5 linked regions of the Tribolium castaneum genome follow. The protein of the gene in region 4 purifies or fractionates together with the protein of the main gene of each other region. This does not show direct contact. Links are inferred from orthologs where the notes say so. Each region holds a gene or a part of one and is shown on either strand. Other genes may lie near its edges. The genes, in order: 60S ribosome subunit biogenesis protein NIP7 homolog, ribosome biogenesis regulatory protein homolog, pre-rRNA 2'-O-ribose RNA methyltransferase FTSJ3, probable 28S rRNA (cytosine-C(5))-methyltransferase and Nop56.

Region 1 (3,131 bases), on a different chromosome or scaffold from region 4:
GGGGGCGGCGCTGCAGGTTTCGGTTTAGGCTTTGGGGCCACTTCCTGCTTCTCATTCTCAATTTCTTCCTCTTCCTCTTTGTGCTTTCTTCGCCTTTTGTGGGGCATGTTTGCCTCCTCCCGTTCTCTCTCAATAGCAGCCTTGACCCGCTCCTTAGTGCTGTTTAAATCCGTGCTTATTTTCTTCTTCTTGTTTAAGCCAAATTTGGGCTCGTCTGGCATTTTGCTGTACTTTTCCATCATTTTATTGTAAAACGCTGCCGCTTCCTGGGAGACATAGCCATAGTCATCCTCGTCTGGCTGAATGGGGCCGGCTAAAGTCACCGAAGTGTTGTTAGCATCAACAGCGTCTTGAAGCACGGATTGGTTTGCAGATTTAGTACGCTTTAACATCACATTAACCCGTCTTGTTGCTTTTTTGTCCTAAAAACGACCATAAACACTGAAACGATCACTCGGAGCCGTACCTTAGCCCTCAGAGCCAACAATTCCTCCTTTTTCTTCAAAGCTTCGAGTTTCTTTTCCCTCTCTTCGGCCTCCTTCTTCGCTAAAAACTTTTTGATGTTTTCCGACAATTGTTTACTGCGTTGTTCCTTCTTTGGAGGCTCGAATTTGGTACTGTAGTACCTGACGGGCTAAAATTGTATCAAATTATCCATGAACTTGGTGAAAAGTTCCAGAAGAAATTTCTTGTTGGTGTAACAAGTGTCTAAAGTTACCTCTTTCTTGGAGCCTTTCTCATTTTTTTGGGCGGTGTGCAAAAGCGTACCAAAATCCATGTTTTTCCGTGCTAATTGCTCAAAAAAACTGAGAAAAATCCGATTTATGTCATGACATATTTCACTTTTACGTCGTACATGTCATCATGCGCCATTATCACTGAAATAAACGCGAAAGTAGGCGCAAACGGTGCCAAAACAAAACCACAAAATCCCCAAATAAAACGCGGATAATACAAATTCGTAAAAATTTATTTCTTAAATCACAATAAATCTTCCTCCGATCGGATGTACTCCCCGATGTCTGCCTGATGGAAGCAGACGGGGGCCAGAGGGTCGGCGTGTTTGCACTCTGCTGTGGACCTCGCCGCTACCCCAAACCCCAGCGGCAAGTCGGACATACTGTACACCAAAACCCCCTGGTATTTCTCCGTGTTCTCACTTATTCGTCCTAAACCCGCCTTTGAGACGTGATTGCCGTAAAGGAATTGTTGCTCCGCTGATGGTTTTAGCCAAACTTTGCACTAAAATAACTCGTTATTTTCCGCGTAATTGTGACCGCGAACTCACCTGGGCGTAAGGCGCCAAATAACTCAACGCAGTTATGTGCAGCCGAAACTTGTTCGACTTTGTAAACTTCCCAAAACATGTCCCGGCAGAGATTAGCTGGTTTGGTGGCAGAGTTTCGGCCAATTTTAGGATTTTTTCCGAAATGTAATACACTCTGTCCTTTTGCTCACGGAAACAGTAGATCCCATCTGGCCGCTCTATCAGTAATTTTACGTTGGGCCCAATACTAAATTTAGGAAAGTTACACACGTGACGAGTGTTTTGGAAACAGCACTTACTATTTTGCCAGCTTTTCAAACAGGGTTTTGGTTCGTTCCTCAGAGAGTCGTTTCATTGTGCCGGCTTTACTCAATTACCAATTCAAATAATTATTAAAGTTTTATTGACTGTAACTATTTTTTAGGTTAATTTTTGTTTCAAATCGTTTGCAACTTTTGTTTTCTCTGTTGTGGTATTGGTGAACTTGTAGATCGCGCCACTTTTGACGTGAATAAATAACTACACAGTATGTTTTGAGATGTATTTATCAATTCGTAAAATAACATTTAACAACATGAAATCATATGTCAGACTATTAAGAAGATAAACATGGAGATTCCTTGTCTTCAGCAAGTTCCATCAAACTGGACTTGATTTCTTTGCTAATCTCTTCTGCTTCTGGCACCTCAGATATAACCCATGTGTCATCGGTACTTTCCAGTTTTTCTCTACAAATCGGGCACGTGTCATGAGTGGCATTCCTTAAAAAAATCTAACAGTTACTTGAATAACAAAAGTATCATAGTTGATTTTTAATAACATATTTTTCCGATTATATTATATATTATATTATATTATATTGTAGCATTAAAAAAAATAATAATAATAAAAATGAAATAAAAAAAAATGTTTATTTGCATTAAATTTTGAGCAAGCCACTTTCATTCATTGAAATTAAAGGCAAAATTACGTGGCAATAAATTATTTTAGTGTTTTATTTTATTTATAGTTACTGTATTTAAAATGTGTCACTCAAAATATCACTTTTCAATACCGCATTTAAAGATTTTAATTGCAATTAAGTTTTATGAAATTATTGGTTTTTTGAAATAAATAAATACGACACAGCAATAAAATACACCTACCTTCATATCGCTTCCACGTTGGCTACCGTTTGTAGCATTAAAAAAAATAATAATAAAAATGAAACCAAAAAAAAATAATAATAAAAATGAAACCAAAAAAAATGTTTATTTGCATTAAATTTTGAGCAAGCCACTTTCATTCATTGAAATTAAAGGCAAAATTTCGTGGCAATAAATTATTTGAGTGGTTTATTTTATTTATAGTTACTGTATTTAAAATGTGTCACTCAAAATATCACTTTTCAATACCGCATTCAAAAATTTTAATTGCAATTAAGTTTTATGAAATTATTGGTTTTTTGAAATAAATAAATACGACACAGCAATAAAATACACCTACCTTCATATCGCTTCCACGTTGGCTACCGTTTGTAGCATTAAAAAAAATAATAATAAAAAGTAAACAAAAAATAATAATAATAAAAATGAAACCAAAAAAAAATAATAATAAAAATGAAACCAAAAAAAATGTTTATTTGCATTAAATTTTGAGCAAGCCACTTTCATTCATTGAAATTAAAGGCAAAATTACGTGGCAATAAATTATTTTAGTGTTTTATTTTATTTATAGTTACTGTATTTAAAATGTGTCACTCAAAATATCACTTTTCAATACCGCATTTAAAGATTTTAATTGCAATTAAGTTTTATGAAATTATTGGTTTTTTGAAATAAATAAATACGACACAGCAATAAAATACACCTACCTTCATATCGCT
Region 2 (4,837 bases), on a different chromosome or scaffold from region 4:
AAATAAAAATCAATTTTTTTCCGAAGATTTTATTAGATTCTCAAATACACCCCGATTCCGTAACAGTAAAACCTCTACTGTTAGGAACCTTATCCAGCGCACAAAACCACAATTCTCGCCCACTTCGATGGGCCAAAACGTGTTTGGTTATATACAAAAGTCACTCTAGATTATATACACACTTCCAGACAAAGAAATTTGTAAGAAATGGATTTTGAAGTTGCGTCAATTGAAAGCAACCGATACAACAGTGAAGAAAAACCGAAACAGTTTCTTCAAGTACTTCCTCCAAGTCCTCCACAAGGCAGTCCAAGGTGAAGATTATCTCGGCCCTTCTCCACTCGACACTAAAGTAACAAATCGTCTTAACTGAAACAAAAAACTGATTTGTAATTTAAGGCTGACGAGAGCCGAGGCCGCGATTTCATGTGCCGCTGGTCGAGCGATAAGCGGACTTACGTGGCGGCTAAGCCCCTCCCAGGCGAGGGCACTCTGGTCTACATGGCCGTGTCGAAAGACCCGAGTCTTGGATGGGAAAAACAGGGAGAAACAATCTATGTTTAAACTCACCTCTAAGTAAAAATATACAATTGGAACAAAACTAGCGCCGCTTCCGGCCCCCGGCGGCTTTGCCCTTTCGGGGCCGGTTCGTGTTTTTCGGCTTCTTGCCGCCTCCAGACTTTCGCAGGCCTTTCTTGCGCCCAGTTCGGTTTTTCTCATCAGATCTCCTGGGAAAAAAAATATATGAATTTTTTGGACCACCGACTGAGTAAAACACTCACTGCGCTTGTTCGTCGTTTATTTGTCGGGCTACCGCTTTTTCAATATTTATCTTCGGTCGTTTGTTCAAAACCTCGTCTACGAGATTTAGGTTTTGGTTTTTCTCGTTTTGACCCGAAATTGGAGGTAATTTTCGTTTTCTCGTCGCTCCGGGAGTGATAGCAGCGACGCCTCTCGCCTCCTTCTCCTTGGGGAGCTTGTCTTGGAATTTTCCCAGACTTGCGGTTGACGATTTAGCCACTGTTACCGCCGCTTGCAACTAAAAATCAAACATTTTGATTTCGAAAACAAAAAGTTAATACTTTTTATGTTAAAGGTTTTAACAAAATTCCAAATTTTTTATTCGTATTTAACAAATAAAAACTAAATTGTTACTATAGACAGCTCACAATCAAAGGCAGATAACATTACATCCGGAATTCCCACAAGGCTCAATTTTGGGACCATTTCTATTTTTAATATACAGCTCAGAAATATCAGAATTCGTAAATTATGTAATTATTCAGATCATATGCAGGCATCCATTTAAATATTATAAAAACTATTCATCAAAACTTAATGAAATTTGGTATATGTTCGAAATTATGTAAATTCTATCGTCTCAGATGTGTATCAAAGTTCTGTCGTCATTTGTTCTGGGGAAACAAGGCTAACTTGATTTTTTTAATGCCAATATTATATTATTCTATTATTTTTTTGTTGTTTCTTTTGTTTGTTTTTTTCCATAAAAGTTTAATTTTTGGTTTTATACAAGTGAAAAATCGCTCATAACAGTATTTTAAAAGCTAGCTTAGTTTTACTTTTCCGGAAATCCAGAATTAAATTTTTGAATTTTTATTTTTTTTACCTTTTTAAGGTTCAGAAAAAAATTTGACAAAAACTCCGCCAATCTTTTTTGATGCTTTCCAACTTTAACTATGGCCTTATTATTTGTCACTCATGTTTAGATCTATAGTTTTTTCCAAAATTGTTTTTGCTTTTTGTTATTTTCTTCTTGCTTTATTTGCTATTATTTTTTTAGAGCAATTTTTGTCAATTTAATTTATTCATTTATTCATTTACTTCTTCGTTTCTTAAGGGAATTAAGTTCAATTTCGCCTCCCGAGTTGTATTTACGGTTCGAATAAAGACGGCTTATTGTTATATCATTATTATTAAAAAAGAAGCAACTACTTTAAACGTTTAATAAAACAACACAAATTCACGTATTTTTCAACTTGGTGCAACACTTAAATTTCCGGCCGTACACACGATAAAAATACAAAAACTCACGTCTTTTGCGGACGAAACCTCAGGGTTGGTGAGCCCGAACCTGGGCACTTTCACATTTTTCGCTTTGGCGACGTTGCGCAGCCTTTGCAGTTCATTCTTGGCGACTTTTTCGCTCTTAGCCTCGACTTTCTTGGCGAACTGGTCTTCCAAAGGGTCCGCATTTTGTGGCACTTCAATCAGCCAGTCCTTCTCCTTGAGGGCGGCGCTCCGTTTGAAACCATACAGCGGGATCCACTTTTGCAGCTGCTCGTCCCAAGACAACTTACTCTTCTTTTTCTTGACTATGCCCTTGGCTTTGGCGAACTGCTCCCACTTGGTCAGCGGCCTGGGCCTCGGCACGGGCTTGAAGCGCGGTAAACAAAACTTCTGCTTGGGCAACTTCGCGACAATTGCTTCGTCTATCCGCTCCGTGGGCAACTCCCAGATTTGGTTAAACAGCAACTGGGTGTTATCCCGAGTCAAATTCAGTAAATAATCGTTGGTGGAGCTCCTAAAATTGGGTCAGAAAAGCGTGCTCAGCGGACCCCAAAACTCACCTCAACGCGCCGGGATCGAGCGGGTTCAGGTCTTCGGCCAGCAAGGCGCCTAAATCGATGCTCACCAACTTGTTAACTTCCACTGATTTGTATTTCTCGGCCTCTTTGGCCGATTTTTCCAAAATTGTTTTAACAACATCCATGTTGTTAAAACCTGTCTGGGGATTCTAACCTCACTTGCGACAAAACGGTTACACGTGGAGCGAAAATCCCCAGATTCGGCTGGCGAACTGACACCTGTCGCTGACAAATGTCAACCAATTTCAAAATATTTTGCCAAAATCTGGGCGTTTCTTTGTAAAAATGTGATCGTGGTGGTGCTGAGTCATGCCACTCGCCGAACCTTTGCTTTTTCTGCTCAAGCTGGGCTACACCCTGCGTCTCAAGGTGCCCCTCTTTATCCTGTTTCTGTGCTTTTTGCTGGATATAAGGATGCAACTCAACGTCACAGTCCAGAGGATTGAGATCCCGAGGAACGCGGTCCCGGACCCAGACGAAGACATTTAATGTAAAAGAAATATTTTATTCATCAGACTCAATACACTAATAAAAATCAATTAAAAAACACTTTGCTGTAAATGCAAATGTAAATGGAATATCTCGCTACAATAATTTAACAAGGAATTAAAACAACGTACAAATTTGGCAGTTTAAATGCTGGTGTTTGTCCTCATTCGTAACAAAAGAAACACACTTCTAGAATTCCATCTGAAACCGCCACTTGATTAGAACGGGAAAAACCGCAACAAACAACTCACTTATACAGTTAATTACAGCTAGAGCTTTCGATTGTGACCTCTTGCAGGATTTCTGCAAGAGGCCGACTCTGGCCTTCCCTCGACGGCTGCAGACTCGCACACCCATGGCTCGTACTCAGCGAATTCTGGGGAATTACAAGCTGTCAGATTGGCCCAACCAACTGTGGGACCCTAACTAAGTCGTGCAACTATTTGCCCAACTGGGCATTTATTTATAAAACGTAATAAATGTTTAATTGCTTTCAATAAATGCCCAGTTTCTTCTAAAATCCCAACTACACAGACATACAGACGGCCGACTCCTTAGAAAAAAATATCCACTTTCCCACACCTGTCCACCGTTCTCCAATTTTTTCAAAAGGGCACACGTTTCGACACAAGAATTAAAATTCGCGCCATCTGGACGGAAATTAACTCAACCGAGCTTTTTAAGTTGGCCATCTGTGACTAGAAACCCCTAACACGAAATTAGTACTCCTATGTCCTACCTATTAGTAATTTTAATCTATTACGTGTCTATCTGCTATGACTAAAATCCTGCGGGAATTAGAACTAGACGATAGAAAAAAATTCATATGCCATTAGTGTAGACACACAAACAACACCACGTCCCGACTTACTGCGACATTGTGAACAAACGCTTTGCAGTGTTGCCAGTACGAAATGTCTCGCCTTGGTAGGTAGTACCACCCAAACAAAAAAAATTGAAACAAAAACTCAACCCCCACACTTAACTAACGCAATGAAATTACCTTGTGTAGCGTACTCTGCGGCGCCACTTTTAAGTGCACTTTTTCGGCGCATAACGCCTTCAATAAGTTAATCCCTTCCTGCCTGTTCCTCTCAAATCGGCACTCCCACGCATCAAACAGCCGATTATAATACCGAACTTCCATGAAATTCAAATACTTGTGCGTCTGCGAGGTGGGGAAAATCCTCTCGAAACGCCCCTTAACACACCACTCGTCTTCGGCTTGCGTCAACTTTCGCACATCATCGCCAGTCAATTCGGCCAAAATATCGTCGAGGTAGTCGTGTCGTGACTCATACTGTTCGAAAAGTGTGTGCTTTTCCCGCTCTTTTTTCGTGAGCGAAGTTGTGTACAATTTGGGGTCGAAACATTGGGGGCTGTGACGGACGGTTTGAGACAACCTTGGCGGAAAATGGAACTGTGCGAGATCAAATAAGGTTTGGACAAGGGGGCCCTTAACATGTGCATCTAGCGGGCTGGCTGAATGCAAACTGGGCGAAATGTTCACTTCCAGTAGCCAAGCTTTGAGATTTTCATCGAGTAGGACATCGACCCCGAACAATTCGTAGCAATTGTACCGACTGAGCATGTTTTCTTCGCACAATTGGTGGATGGGGGCTTCCCCCGTAATGATTGTCTTGATGACGAGTTGTTGTAAATTGCGCCAGAGGGCTTTCGTGTCGACACCTTGCCTCGACATGTATTCGAGTAGTTTCGTTATCGTCCTGTCATTTTATTGG
Region 3 (4,817 bases), about 5.0 Mb from region 4:
AGAATAAACTCGACTAGCGGCTAGCCCCTGCCGGTCTACAAATGTTCGCTCAGTCGAAATGTTGCGAGCGAGGTCGGAACAGTACGAACGGAGACCATAACGGACTTCTCATTTCAGCTGGGCATATTCACAGAATAACAGGTTTTACAGAAACGCATCTGTCCTTGTCCGGATAGAGCGAAAGTGTCACTAGCACATCTATTGTTGCCAGCGCGTACTAAGCGTTATCGGCGGGCGATTTGAATTGCCCGTAGTTACTTTTCTTTTAAAGTTTGATTGCATTTTTCGTATTGTTTGTAAATATTCACAACAATAGTTGCTAATAACACTTTCTGATGTTAGACAACTATTGTTGCTGAATATTTACAAAGAATACGAAAAATAAAATATGAGAATACATAAAGACAATAAACTTGTAATAAAAATTTATTATCACTAGTCAATATACACGATACGATAACTATAAACTAATGATTGATCCATCAAATTATTTATATTCCCACAATAAAAAAGTTCAAAAAAGCACACACACGAAAAAAACCACAAAACAGTACTAATTTCACATAAAACAAAGCCGAAGGCGAACACCAAACAAACCAAGCACAAAATGGCGATTTACACAATGGCAACTGTCACAGGTCCACTGTTAATTTCTGCCGATATTATAGGTAGCTTCGCTAAAATTGACTATACGTGTGTGCGACATCTGCGATAGCAAGCCGAACTACAGTCGATTTTGAATTTGGCGCCTATACTTGGCTTGGTGCATTTAGGTTTCACCACCCTGGGCATATTGGAATAGTGGTTTTTATGGAAATATGTTGCGCGTGGCTGGGGCTTCGCCCCAGTTAACTAAAAGGAAACAAACCCCACGACCAATTAAACTCGAAAACGTGGAACTCGAAACGTGGAATAGTGTTTATGTTTATGAACTGTACGCCACCCTAGCTCCATAAAAAAACACTATTCCACGTTTCGAGTTCCACGTTTTCGAGTTTAATTGGTCGTGGGGTTTGTTTCCTTTTAGTTAACTGGGGCGAAGCCCCAGCCACGCGCAACATATTTCCATAAAAACCACTATTCCAATATGCCCATCAATGCCGATTGTTAATGTAATTATTTTTGAAATACTCAGAAAACTCTTTAGACTTAACCAGCCCAGCTGAAATGGAAATCCGTTATGGTCTGTTCGTACTGTTCCGACCTCGCTCGCAACATTTCGACTGAGCGAACATTTGTAGACCGGCGGGGCCTAGCCGCTAGTTAAACTCGGACCATCGCGAACGCCTCCCATTGGCTGACGCACAAGGAGGGGTCACGTGACGCAAACATTTAGAGGCCGCTAATAAATGGAAATTTTGATAATGCAGTTCCAATTTCACAAAACTCTATTATGCACTAACAACCCATACTTTGCTTTTCTTATGTATAAAACAAAATTAAACAAATGGGTCAAAATGACACGCCATGCAGTGCAATTTGTATTGGTTGATAAAACTATTTTTCCCCTTTTATCAGCGAAACATTTAATAATAACAACTGGATAAAAATTTTGAAAAAATGCCAAAAAACCGCAAATTAAAACATGTGAGTTGGTAGCATTGCTTTTTGATAACGCAAAAAGGATAGTCATATGTGTGTTTCGTTTGCCCGACAAGGACAACAAATTCCGAATGACATTCTGTCAAAAGTCAAAAGCCATGTGTGTTTGCTGAAAACAAATTAGTTTTTTCGCTTTCCAGAATTAAAAAAGCGCCAACATGGGAAAGAAAACTAAAATTGGGAAACAGCGCAAGGATAAGTACTATCAATTGGCCAAAGAAACCGGTACGTTTTCCCAAAACTTGGCACCATAACCTCACTTTCGCCTTCAGGTTTTAGGTCTCGTGCAGCCTTCAAATTGATTCAACTCAACCGCAAGTTCGAGTTTTTGCAGAAGTCGCGAGTATGCATCGACCTGTGCGCCGCCCCCGGGGGCTGGATGCAGGTGGCCAAGCAGAACATGCCCGTTTCGAGCGTCATCATTGGGATTGACTTGTTCCCAATTAAGCCCATTCCTGGGTGCATTTCGCTGACTGAGGACATTACGACCGAGAAATGCCGCGTCTCGCTCAAGAAAGAGCTGCAGACGTGGAAAGCCGACGTTGTTTTGCACGATGGCGCCCCAAATGTGGGCAAGAATTGGCTGCATGATGCCTATCAGCAGGCATGCCTGACGTTGAGCTCTTTGAAACTGGCCAGTGAGTTTTTGAAGAAAGGGGGCTGGTTTATAACCAAAGTGTTTCGTTCGAAGGATTACCATTCGCTGATTTGGGTTTTGAAGCAGTTTTTTAAAAAAGTGCATGCCACCAAACCACAAGCTTCGCGTAATGAATCGGCGGAAATTTTCGTCGTTTGTCAACACTACATCGCACCTGATAAAATCGACTCCAAGTTTATGGACCCGAAATATGTTTTTGAGGAGTTGGAAATTGAGCCTAAAGAGAAATTGAATATTTACCATCCTGAGAAAAATAAGAAGAGTAAAGCTGAGGGGTACCCCGAGAATGATTGGACTTTGTATCATAAGATTAAAGCATCAGATTTTATTAAACACCCTACAGGGATCGAACTCCTAGAAGGGGCTTCTGAGGTAAAAACGCCCAAAAAAACTTCACTTTTAGTCCATAGATGTGATTAAACACTCGGGAAAAGTATAATTTGGTAAATTTGTGACTTTTTCTTAAAGAGATTTTGAGAAATAATTGCGCTTCTGCATTATTGAAATCTCGCAATAATAGTATATTATTATGCAAGTTTTATAAGACGTTTTATTGTAGCACGAATCGTTTTGGAGCACAACAAAGGAGTACTCCAATAGAATGAGTGTCACAATTAAGTCTTATAAAACGCACTCGTTTTATTACGTATATTACACTTAATATACTATTTTTTGTACTTTCTATTTTTGTTATTTGTTTTTGTTTAATTTAATTTATCAAAATCTGTTCAAACTATTTCCTCTTAATTTTGTTAATTATTCGGGCTTTACAGTGATGACTCACAGCCCAGCACTGCCAATACAACTCCTAAAAATTTACTAAATGGAGTTGCACAAAAGTTCTTTTTGTGAAACTACTTTAAAGCGCCCTCATTTTTTCTCTGCCGTACTGTTTCTTTGGGTTCAGAAAATCCTGCGATTTTGTACCCCATTTCATCCCCTAAGTTTAGTCCTCCGTATTCTTGGCTAATGAAAAATGCTAATTGTCGTTAATATTCGGGGAAGTACTCAATTTTGAAAACATAGGATCAACTAGAGGATCAACATAATTTGGTTGCTTTTATGATTTTTTTGTAGATCGTTTTTGACGTTGAAGAAATAACAAATCACGAAAAAACTACAAACGAAATTAAAGAATGTTGCAAGGATATTAAAGTTTTGGGAAGGAAAGATTTGAAGAAGCTCTTGGCTTGGAAGAAGGCATTGAGTGAAGAGTTTTCTGAGAAGAAAAATGAACCTGTTGAAGAAGAGGTTGAAGAAACTGTGGAGAAAAGTGACGACGAGGATGATTTGAAGGACGTCCACCAACAAATATTGGAACTTGAAGTAACACACTATTTAACAAAATTTGTGACTAATTAAAATATAATTTGTAGAGTGAAGAGCAGCGCGAATTGAAGCGAAAAAAGAAAAAAGCTCAAAAGGAGCGCAAAAAGCTGAACGAAAAATTAAACTTGAAGATGGTCTTGAAAGGTGATAGTGGCCCCACAATGGAAAGTGACGGCATGTTTGAACTAAAACAAGTAACAAGCACCAAACAGATGAAGAAAATTATTGATCAAACGCCTGATACTCTTGCTCAATCAGACAATGAAGAAGATGAAATCAAATCAAAATATTTGCGTTATAACAAGGACGAGCAACATTTGAGTAGTTCAGGATTGTATTATAAAGATTCAGATTCTGAGTTGGAAATGGAAAGCGAGTCTGAGGACGAAGATGGGAAAATTAAGGAAGGTCTAGATTTAAGCGATAGCGAAAATAGCGATGTGGAAGAACAGAAAACTAAATCGAAAACGAAACCAAAACATCCTCTCATAACGGACTTGGACCACAGAAGTAAGGAAGAGAAAAAAGTGCACAAAGCCGAAATGTGGTTTGAAAGAGACGCTTTTAAGAATCTAATAGACGAGAAAGACGAAGACGCTGATTTGGACCGACTGGTGAGTGAAATGAAGAAGAAAGGAGCCAAGATTATCGGAGAGGAAGAAGATGCGAAAAACACAGAGTCGGATAGTGACTACAGTTCGGATTCAGATGATTCCGAATACGAGGATTTTGAGAAACTTGCCCCTAAAAATAACGTAAAGAAGGACGGTTTTGAGATTGTCCCCGAGGGGCAAAAAGTAGGCAAGAAACGTAAACATAAATTAACTGAGAAAGAATTGGCGTTGGGTACGCTAATGATCAACAGCAAAAAAACAAAACGTGACATAATTGACGCCGCTTGGAATCGTTACGCTTTTAATGATGACAACTTGCCTGATTGGTTTGTCAAAGATGAGGAGAAACATATGAGGAAAGAAGCTGCGGTTCCCAAAGAGTTGGTTCAAGATTACAAGAAGCATTTGGAGGAGTTGAATGTGCGTCCGATTAAAAAAGTGATCGAAGCCAAGGCAAGGAAGAAGAAGAGGGCGTTGAAGAAGTTGGAAAAAGCAAAAAAGAAGGTTGAGAATTTAATGGATAATGTTGATGTGACGGATCGAGAAAAGGCGCGACAAATCAAACAGTTAGTTTTGTTTATTGTTACTGCATTCATCTTAAACATTTTATTGTC
Region 4 (4,961 bases):
GTTAGGGAAACAGGCTTTGTTATATTGCCCCTCGGAAAGGAATAATGACTCCAATTGATACTCAGTGAATGAAATGCTGCAATAAAATAAGATATCGCTAAATCGGACAACAAAAAAACGAAAACTTCATTACATACGCATATGTAACATATTTTCTGCATTTCAGTACACAATTTATTCGTTGAAAATAAATCAAAAAATAGAACCATGCTTGCATTTTTCAAATCTTCAAACACGTTTTTTGAGATAAAACGTAGTTTGTTAGCTAAGATAATATAAACTATTTTTTTGTGCCCAAAAATTTCAAGCGGCCGAGTAAAAAGGAGAATACTGAGCGTTAAACCGTCATACTCGTAGCTACGAATTGTTGAAAATTTATTTAAATTAAATTAAATAAGCAGTTCACTAACAGTTTAGAAAAAAGATTGAAATTTTCATGACAAACATAAGAAAAAAACATTAAAAAACTGCAATACGTCCAATTTTCTTCAGCTGCGAATACAAAGAAAAAATTAAAAAATGTAAGAAAAAAAGTTACAAGAATGTCGGTCTCCATTTAACCCAGAAAGGTTAAAGATTTTTTTAAATCTTTACTTTATTTAGTTTATTTCAAAAGTGGTGCTTTACGGAGTTATCAGGAATAAAAATAATGATGGTATTTTTTGTAAGCAATAAAAAATCACATATATACTTAATCATAATTGCTTTATTTTTATTAATAAAAAATGAACATTTAAATAAAAATGATTGATTTTATGTATGCTTCTTTTTGAACATTTTATTCTTCATAACACCAACTTGTTTCTTCTTAACTTTCTTAATCTTTTTATTAAGCTTCACACTAGCTTCTTTCGGAATTTTGTCCCAATCGAGTTTTTCACCAGTCTTCACATTCTTCTTGCCCGGACTTGCGGACTTTTCCTTTTTCAATTTGTTATCTTTCGGCGAATTCGTTCCTTCTTTCCTCGTATCCGCTTTACTATTTTGCACTACATTTTTCTTCTTCTTACCATCATCTACAACCGCATTTTTTTCTTGTTTATTGTCCTTAATATCCCCATTTTGCTTAACCTTTTTCGCTTTCTGTTTTTTAGTCTTCACTTCCTCGTCCTGTTCTTGTTTACTCGTATTAATTTCTTTACTTTTCTCCTTCAGTTCTTGTTGACTCGTATTATTTTCCTTACTTTTCTTCGCCTTTTTCGGCTGCGTTTCTCCATTCTTTTTCTGTTTTTTAGTGCTAACTTCCTCAACCTCCACTTCCTCCTCCAATTCCCTCTTTTCGCCCTGCTCCTCGCCCGCAGTCGTCGGAATCAAATTTGAGAATTTCCTAAACTTGGCCACAAAAAACCCGTCCATGTTATGCGTATGCGGGTAAAACCTCCTCGTCAGTTTCAAACTCGGGTGAAACCTAAACTGTCTATAATTCGTAAAGCCTTCATTCCCGAATTCCAGTCCCGTATCGACCAACTTAACGTTCCTCTTCTTCAGAGCGTAATCAACCACCCATTCGTTCTCTTCCGGCAACACCGAACAAGTCGAATAAACCAAATATCCGCCGGTTTCCGACTTGGCATTAAGGCAATCAATCGCCGCCAAGAGCAACTCCCTTTGCAAATTATAGCACCGCTGAATGTCCTGCTCGTCCTTGCTAGTCTTGACACTCTGGTCCTTCGCCACAACCCCCGTCCCGGTGCAGGGCGCATCCAGCAGGACCCTGTCAAATCCCTTCAAAATTTTCGGGAATTTTCGGCCGTCCACGCACGTAATGACCGAATTAACGACCCCCAACCGGTGGAAATTCCCGACGATTGCCTTGATTCGCTCGCTATTGACATCATTAGCGAACAAGACCCCCGTGTTTTTCATCAGCGCGGCGATGTGCGAGGCTTTGCCCCCGGGGGCCGCCGCCATGTCCAGAATCCTCTCGTTTTCTTGCGGCGCTAGCGCCATGACCGGTAGCAAACTCGAAGCGCCTTGAATAATGTAATGACCGGCCAAATACTCAGGGGTCGCCCCGATCGGAACTTGGGAAGAATACACAACGAGGCCCACTTTGCTCCATTTTCCCACCGGGTCCAAGTTAACCCCGCGGTTAATCAGGGCCTGGGCCAGGTCGCGACGCCGCGTCTTCAGACTGTTGGTGCGGATGGTCAACGGTCTTTGGACTTCGCTGGCTTCAAGAAACTCCAAAACTTCGGTCAGGGGGAACAGCTGCATGAACTTCTCCATTAGGAAGTCGTTGTAGCTGTAGTAGGTGCAAAGATCGGCTTTTAGCATCTCCAAGTAGTCGGAACGTGAGTGTTTCTCATCGCGGAGTTTGGTGAAGTCGGAGAGGACTCCGATCACGTCACGGATGCGTTGTTGCACTTCCTGCAAACTTGCGGTCTCTTCGCGTTCTTTCTTTGACGGGAGTTTGAACTTTTCGCTGTCTGCAATGTTCATTTGGAGCTCGTCCTCAGCGAGCTGCTCCTCCTCATCTTGTTGCTGCTTAAGTATCTTGTTCTCCTTTTCAATCGGGAGAAGGTCGTCATCGTCAGGTTCAGAATCGTCCGAAACGTCGTTCAAAGTCCCTACTTTACAATCCTCCTCGTCACTTTCCTCAGATTCAATCACAACTTGCCGCTTGGGCTTCAGCCAGGACTTGTTATCGTCCGTGAAACCCTCGCCAGGCAAAACCTTCGTGTCATTTTGACTCACAGAAGGCTTCAACCACACTTCTTCATCCTCCTGCTCTGACTCACTACTTTCTTTAGCGACTTTTGCCACATCTTTCCTCTTAACTAGTCTTTTCTTCAAACGTTGTTTCTGTCTGTGGCTCAGTTTTTTCGCGTCGGAATCACCTACAAGTTCAATAAGACACGAAAACCACTCGTGTATTTTTACCATTGAGTAACGCTTTCGGAAACGTCGGGTCCTTTTGTTTTTTTGCCTTTTTGCCAGGCCCTCGTTTAACGAGGACTCCTTCCGTGTTAAACCGCGCTTTTCTGCCCATTTTACCGATTCATAAAACACACGTGCTGCATTTGAAACGTGAAAACACAAGTTTAAGGTTAAGGGATCTTGACGTTCAATGTGACCAACTTGTGATTTACGTTGGCACAGCTTTCAAACCGTCCAATCATAGAATAACGAATTTAATAGGAGCCAATCAGAGGAAGAGGGTTTTAAGCGGGTCAAATAACATAATCATTTGATGGAATATATTCTTTTATAAAAATTTCTGGACTAGATCGCCTAAAATACCGCAAATTGATGTCATAGTGGGTCTCTCTTTCTTCTCCTTTAAACAACTCGTCGCAATCTCGTATAATTTCTCGCCGAAATTAATACTATTGGCCATCCATGAGCCAACTGTTGTGTCTAACAATGGTTTAATACCGTCCTGGCAGGTTTCTTGCACATGAGTAACCAAATCGACTCCCTCCCGGCTTTCGTCCATTGGAGGCATTGAAGTGAGTAGTTCAAGCAAAACGACTCCAAAACTGAAAGTGTCCAACTTTACTGAAACGTCTCCCCTGAAAGCCTCAGGTGCCATGTAAGCCGAAGTCCCGAAAATTGTAGTTGCGGTGTTTGTATTTTGGTTGAGAGCGCGTTTAATTAGCCCAAAGTCGCACAACTGAAGAAAAAGTGATTATTTTGTAACAAACTACCGAAAAACAACCTTTGGTTTATTGTTACTGTCGAGTAAAATATTTGCAGATTTAACGTCACGGTGAATCAAGGGGCTTGCGTATGCAGTGTGGAGATACGCAATCGCCCTCGCTGTCCCCATTGCTACATACAGCCTTTCCGTCCAAATCAACTCATGTTTCTAAAATTAATTATTAATTATCTTAAGAAAAAAATCTTTCGAAAATTATTAGGTCTTGACCTAGAATTGTTGGATTTCAACAAACCGTTTTGCTAGGACTTTTAGTTTTCGAGTTGTTTATTTTTTATGAAATTTTCAGGCAAAAAATTTCAAAACTATTAAACAAAATCAGATTAACAAAAGTTTTTCATTTTCCCAATTATTGTCTTATCTCGTTTGTTTTTTTTTTATTTTAAAAATTACTCACAGTAGGCAAACACTGACCTGTAGCCGGTCCTTGAGTGCCCCTCCAGGGACGTACTCGTACAACAAGCAATACGTGTCGCCATCGCACGAATAGCCCCTCAAAGCCACCAAATTCTCATGCTCATATTTACTCAAAATCTCCACTTCGTTGCGGAACTGTTTAGTAACCATATCATCAACTCGAACGACGTCAACATTTTCCAAAATGACTTTCTTCACCGCCACTGGTTTACTAACCAACCCCACACCCAAATAAACTTTACCGAAAGCCCCCGACCCCAAAAACCTGCCCCCTTGGGCCACCGGTGTCTCGTCGAAGTTATTAGTCGCCGTTGCTAAATCACAGTAACTAAAGTGTGGCAAAGGAGTGTTCAGCGACAAGTTCGGGAGCGGCGACGAACACGACCGCGAATTTTTCTCAGAATCGATTAATTGACTCAAAGCGGGGAAGTTTGACGAAGAGTCGGAACTTGACGCCAGACTCAATTCGCTGATTGCAGGAACGTTGAAATTGGGCTCAGAGTCGTCACTTGACTGGTTCAAAAGTGACGATAACTCCGGTCTGTTGACCGCAGAATCGGCATTTTCAGTGGTTTCTGAGCTCGATTGTGACACTAAATCGCTAATTACGGCAGGAATGTTATTATTGGACGCCTCATCCGTCAAAAGCGACGACAAATGCGGCACATTTGCGTTATTATCGCTGTTTGAAACCGATTCTTGCGAAAACTTAATCAAATCCGACTCAGACTTGACTTTCTGGACAACGACCGGTAGCCGAAACGGCGGCGGCGTCTCTTCCACATCCGGTGATTCGCTGATTATAATCTTGGGGATCACTTTCGTCGTTTCTTTGCCGCTGTAATTCAAGTTTGTGTTAAACGAATTCAGTTTGTTGATATTC
Region 5 (4,221 bases), about 8.5 Mb from region 4:
TTCTTGAAAGTTGACGATGAATAAAGCTTTTCGTACTAACTGGGTGTTTCATTGCACTAATTACATTTGTTTGCTTGGCTTGATAGCGCGGTTTGATGCAGGTCCGTTGCTAACCCCCACATCGGCCCAACAGCCCCTTCAACCGTTGTCTTCCGCATCGTCCAATAACAACACCGAGGTTAAAACACCAGCAAATAAAAACCAACAGAATATCGGGTCGACGTGGAGCAACTCAGGCAACTTAAATATCGATTTAGATAATTTACTCGTGACGAAACCAAAACAAGGAGTCTCACCTAGTATGAACCAATTGGCGAGCAATCCAACCTCACCCGTTAATCAACCGAAATTAACAAATCAATATGCGATGAACTTCAACGCTCAAGGCTTCCCCCAAACGAATGCTTTCAATCAGCCAAATAAGCAACTGTTTCCAAGCTTTTAAAGCACCTAATTTTTATTCGAAATTCCAAAGATTGTACTTTAATCGTTGAGATTGAGCCAATTGGTCTTGCGTTTATAGTTTTTAAAAACGGTTTTCTTGCACATATTTTGTATAGTCCGTTTGGTTGTATTACAATGCTCATGAGGGTGCTGGGTACATTTAAGTTTGTTCATATTTTATTTAGTATTACGCAACTATTTATACAACTAATTTGTAGGAACAGCAAAATCGGCTCTGTTAGCAAACAGATAAAGCAATATTGCATTGTTAATAATTTTCTATAAAATAAAAACAAATTCGACCTATCGGCAGTTTTTTCTTTTTCGTTGAAGGTTGCGATACCGTGGTGCCTTATTATCGATAACACTATCCATGTTACAGTTAGTAACTGTTTGAACATTCCGCTCATTTAGTTTATTGTAAAAACATATAAAATAAATTGTTGTGAATATTACCCATGGTTTTATTGGTAGGATAACAGGTTTAAGCATTACGACCTCAATTTGATCAAGTATCTATTTAAAAATAATAGATTATACAAGAATAAAAATACCCGACTCTCAAACAAACAATTACTCAACTTCCTGCTTATTTTTCTTCTTCTTCTTTTTGGGCGGCTCCTCCGCCTCATCTGCATTCCCATTGGTCGTCTGGTCCACGCCATTCTCTCCCACAGACTCACTCGTCTCGTTCAGCTTATGTTTCTTCTTTTTCTTCTTCTTCTCGGACTTATTGTGCGCCGTTTCTTGCTCCAACTCCTCCATCGCCTCCTTCATGACTTCGATATTCTTCTTGGGGACGTCCCCTGTCTCGTAAAACTTGAGCCTGTCTTCAACTTGTTGCCTCAACTTCTCGCCAAAAATCTGCGTCGGTTGTTCAGTGAAGCAGTCGATTCGCGATGCGATCGAGCACTTGTTCGCCAAATATCGCGAGATGCGCCCCTTGTTCTTAGCCCCAGCTCGCCCTATGAAAGTGGAGTGGAAGAGTAAGCCGTACTTCGGGGTGTTCCCCCTGGTTTTAAGAGCCCTGAAAAGGGCTTTTTCAGCCCCGAGGATCTGAACCGTGGACGCCGGGTACTTGGCAAGGTTTGTCAGAGACCCAGCGTGGGCGATCAAGCGCGCCCCCACTTGTTCGCCGATTAGTTTGGCCAGATTTGGGGCCACGTCGGTCATTTTTGTCTTCAAATATTCGGAAAGTTGGTTTCTGTAGTCGGCTAGAGCTATCACCCGGCCGGCAAACATTTCGATGTTCAGTAGATCAACAACGCTTATGTCCATGCCCATGCTGGACTTGGAGGCGTCCAAAATCGCCTGGGCTTTGCCTGAATCCATCGTGATTTCTTCCAAGCCCTCGAGAGAGTCCTCGCTTAGTTCTTTGCGGTTTTTGATGAATTTTGCCAAACGGGCGTAGGTGTAGTTCTCGGGGACTATTTTCACCAACTCCGGGAAATGGTAAGAGTACCATTCGCTGCAATACACTTGTTAGAAAGAAAATTTGGACAATTCGCAAAATCGTACCGAATTCTCATCGAGAAAGTGTTGATGTCTTTGTCGAGTTGGTCCAAAAGAGCTATGGATTGTATTATCATATTGTCAACTCTGTGGACGTTAAACTTGACCTTGGCTCGTGAATATGCATGCCCGAGCCCCAGTTGGGCCACGGCTGAGCTTTTCTGAGTGAAACCTTTCACAAGGTTATGGAAATGGTGCCTGATACCCCTGATTACCTCCGGGACAGCTCCGACGTGGCTACATTGTATCCCAAGCGCTTCGGTGATGGCAGCCCCCAACTTGGGGTCACTCACCCCCAACGTAAGCTTATTCTTTTTCTTACTTTTCGGGACTGTGATGTCCAAAAAGTGTAGCAAATCTTCGGGTAAAACACCCTCCGAGATTGCATTGATGCTTTCTAAAGCCGCAATGGCTGTTTTAAACGGCGAAAAACCAACGAGTTCGACTACGCTATTGAAGCGGGCTAGGTCGTGCACGGCTGCCTCCAACTGGGGCAGCAGCATACCGATTTCTTCAAATTCCTGCACTTTGAAAACCCCATAGCCGGCAGCGTGCTCGAATAACACATAAAGTTTAGACTGAAAAACATGCGGCGCTAGAGTGAGGTTATATTTACAAACATTGCTATAACTTTGCTTGTTCCAAAAAACGAGCAATTAGCAATGTTCTAGTTATGCAATATTGAATTCTTACCATAATTAGGCATAAAATTGGGCTAAAATTAATTAAATTCTATAACAGCACGCATCACAATCACACGTGTTTGCGCGATTTCGCTGGTAATTTTTACGGCAGTGTAGTGGTGGAGCTGACGAAAATTTAAATTCTGGCGCACAACTTAAATAATCTCTTACATTTATTAACATAAATAAATACAATTCTCAATAAGTTACGTAACAAATCACTTAAACACTACGACTGGACTTAAAATAACATTGAGGACAAACTTGAGTCCCAAAACGAGACCATCAATAACATTCTTAATATCAAATCTAGATTCAATCTCTTTTTTAACATTCGTCAGTTTATTATTACTACACGCAAGGCAACCAATTTCGTCCAATTTTACATGGGTTTTGAACCCCCCTAAAATCCCATCGGACCCCACAACCTCGTTATTAAACAACGTGCCTTTGAACCAAATGTGGTCATTTGGCTTAAGCCCCAGGGTGAAATTTCGAAAATAATCGTCAACTACAAGAGTGACTTCGGGGCTTTTGCCCCAAATCGCTGACTGCACTTTCGTTGTTATTTCAAACGTGTACGAATTGTATTTTTGAAGCGAACACGTTTTAGTCGATTTTATTGCATTGTAGAACGAGCTGCACTCTTCACGAACCGCGGGGGGGAAATCAGTACAATCATTTCGAGTCTCTTCCCCGTAAAAACAGTAAAGATAATGGCGCAAAGTCACAGGGAAGTGATCAATAATCGTTTGGAACTTATTCGAGATCGACGAAATTTTAATATCGTTGATGTAACCGTCCCAATTGATGTGCGAGTTGTGCAGTTCGGAGCACTTCACTTGAGCAATTGCGATGTTTTCCTCCTGCCACACCGGCTGGTGGCAAAACCGCTGATAAACGTCCCACGACAAATACTCGGGTAGTTTATTTTCAAAATAGTGTTCCTCATTTTTGTAATTTGACTTAATGAGGGTTAAAACAGCAAAAATCGTCGAAACGACTTGAATAAAAGCGGTGATTTTGCTGAACCTCGTTTGGGCACAAACCCAACATACCGCCAGGCCTAACCCGGTGGCCCCCACGAAGACACAAACCCCGAGAAAAAAATTCGAAGCCACGACCCATTTCGCTAGCGCAGCTGCGGGGAGTATCACACTTGTGAGCCCCACTAGGGGCAGGAACAGCACCACCCCCACTAAGGCCAAGCTGCCGCGCAACAGGCCGTACATTGTGGCCCCCTCGGAGCTCACAATGCACACCTGGAGCCAGCTCAGGGTCACACAGTGGGGGATCAACATTTGGTACGTGCCTTTCCAATCCTGGCGTGAGGCGATTTTGACCAACAAAAGCGGGATAAACATGTAGAGAAACAGGCGGAAATTGATACAAAATTCGATGCCGTTTCCTATCACATAGCTGGCGAAAGTTGGGATTTTTAGGTCGAGAAAGCGCCAACCTTGTGCCACCACTGGATCAGTCTCGTAGGGGTATTTCGCAAGGACGTTAATCCCAAAACTGAAAAACACCAAAAGGTCGAAAACTGTCTTCCCCCGTCTCTTGTACATGAAGCCTAGAAGGG

What was found.
Region 1: the proteins of probable 28S rRNA (cytosine-C(5))-methyltransferase (region 4) and 60S ribosome subunit biogenesis protein NIP7 homolog purify together in Homo sapiens (affinity purification with mass spectrometry; 3 studies listed by BioGRID and IntAct, with this or other methods). This does not show direct contact. The link is inferred for Tribolium castaneum from reciprocal best matches to the Homo sapiens genes NOP2 and NIP7.
Region 2: the proteins of probable 28S rRNA (cytosine-C(5))-methyltransferase (region 4) and ribosome biogenesis regulatory protein homolog fractionate together in Homo sapiens (co-fractionation; 3 studies listed by BioGRID and IntAct, with this or other methods). This does not show direct contact. The link is inferred for Tribolium castaneum from reciprocal best matches to the Homo sapiens genes NOP2 and RRS1.
Region 3: the proteins of probable 28S rRNA (cytosine-C(5))-methyltransferase (region 4) and pre-rRNA 2'-O-ribose RNA methyltransferase FTSJ3 fractionate together in Homo sapiens (co-fractionation; 3 studies listed by BioGRID and IntAct, with this or other methods). This does not show direct contact. The link is inferred for Tribolium castaneum from reciprocal best matches to the Homo sapiens genes NOP2 and FTSJ3.
Region 5: the proteins of probable 28S rRNA (cytosine-C(5))-methyltransferase (region 4) and Nop56 fractionate together in Homo sapiens (co-fractionation; 3 studies listed by BioGRID and IntAct, with this or other methods). This does not show direct contact. The link is inferred for Tribolium castaneum from reciprocal best matches to the Homo sapiens genes NOP2 and NOP56.

What each region holds. Positions count from the first base shown.
Region 1 is NC_087402.1:3,023,399-3,026,529, reverse strand, and holds 60S ribosome subunit biogenesis protein NIP7 homolog, read right to left. Parts: upstream 1,736-3,131; 5' UTR 1,623-1,735; coding exon 1,567-1,622; intron 1,515-1,566; coding exon 1,289-1,514; intron 1,243-1,288; coding exon 982-1,242; 3' UTR 953-981; downstream 1-952. Other genes in the region: protein SPT2 homolog, read right to left, coding at 1-422, 467-634, 719-778.
Region 2 is NC_087399.1:2,009,718-2,014,554, reverse strand, and holds ribosome biogenesis regulatory protein homolog, read right to left. Parts: upstream 2,958-4,837; 5' UTR 2,732-2,957; coding exon 2,589-2,731; intron 2,543-2,588; coding exon 2,053-2,542; intron 1,040-2,052; coding exon 783-1,039; intron 729-782; coding exon 602-728; 3' UTR 587-601; downstream 1-586. Other genes in the region: uncharacterized protein LOC103314109, read left to right, coding at 189-352, 400-564; tubulin monoglutamylase TTLL4, read right to left, coding at 3,365-3,471, 3,967-4,018, 4,099-4,822. UniProt on the Homo sapiens protein: Involved in ribosomal large subunit assembly. May regulate the localization of the 5S RNP/5S ribonucleoprotein particle to the nucleolus.
Region 3 is NC_087395.1:17,626,530-17,631,346, reverse strand, and holds the start of pre-rRNA 2'-O-ribose RNA methyltransferase FTSJ3, read left to right. Parts: upstream 1-1,604; 5' UTR 1,605-1,760; coding exon 1,761-1,827; intron 1,828-1,874; coding exon 1,875-2,632; intron 2,633-3,337; coding exon 3,338-3,586; intron 3,587-3,636; coding exon 3,637-4,769; intron 4,770-4,817.
Region 4 is NC_087395.1:22,665,019-22,669,979, forward strand, and holds probable 28S rRNA (cytosine-C(5))-methyltransferase, read right to left. Parts: upstream 3,091-4,961; 5' UTR 2,993-3,090; coding exon 2,884-2,992; intron 2,841-2,883; coding exon 754-2,840; 3' UTR 687-753; downstream 1-686. Other genes in the region: serine/threonine-protein kinase pelle, read right to left, coding at 3,209-3,616, 3,662-3,811, 4,076-4,961. UniProt on the Homo sapiens protein: S-adenosyl-L-methionine-dependent methyltransferase that specifically methylates the C(5) position of cytosine 4447 in 28S rRNA. Required for efficient rRNA processing and 60S ribosomal subunit biogenesis.
Region 5 is NC_087395.1:14,127,726-14,131,946, reverse strand, and holds Nop56 (nucleolar protein 56), read right to left. Parts: upstream 2,785-4,221; 5' UTR 2,653-2,784; coding exon 2,650-2,652; intron 2,535-2,649; coding exon 1,963-2,534; intron 1,913-1,962; coding exon 1,018-1,912; 3' UTR 948-1,017; downstream 1-947. Other genes in the region: lqfR (epsin-like protein), read left to right, coding at 1-24; wfs1 (wolframin), read right to left, coding at 2,858-4,221. UniProt on the Homo sapiens protein: Involved in the early to middle stages of 60S ribosomal subunit biogenesis. Required for the biogenesis of box C/D snoRNAs such U3, U8 and U14 snoRNAs. Part of the small subunit (SSU) processome, first precursor of the small eukaryotic ribosomal subunit.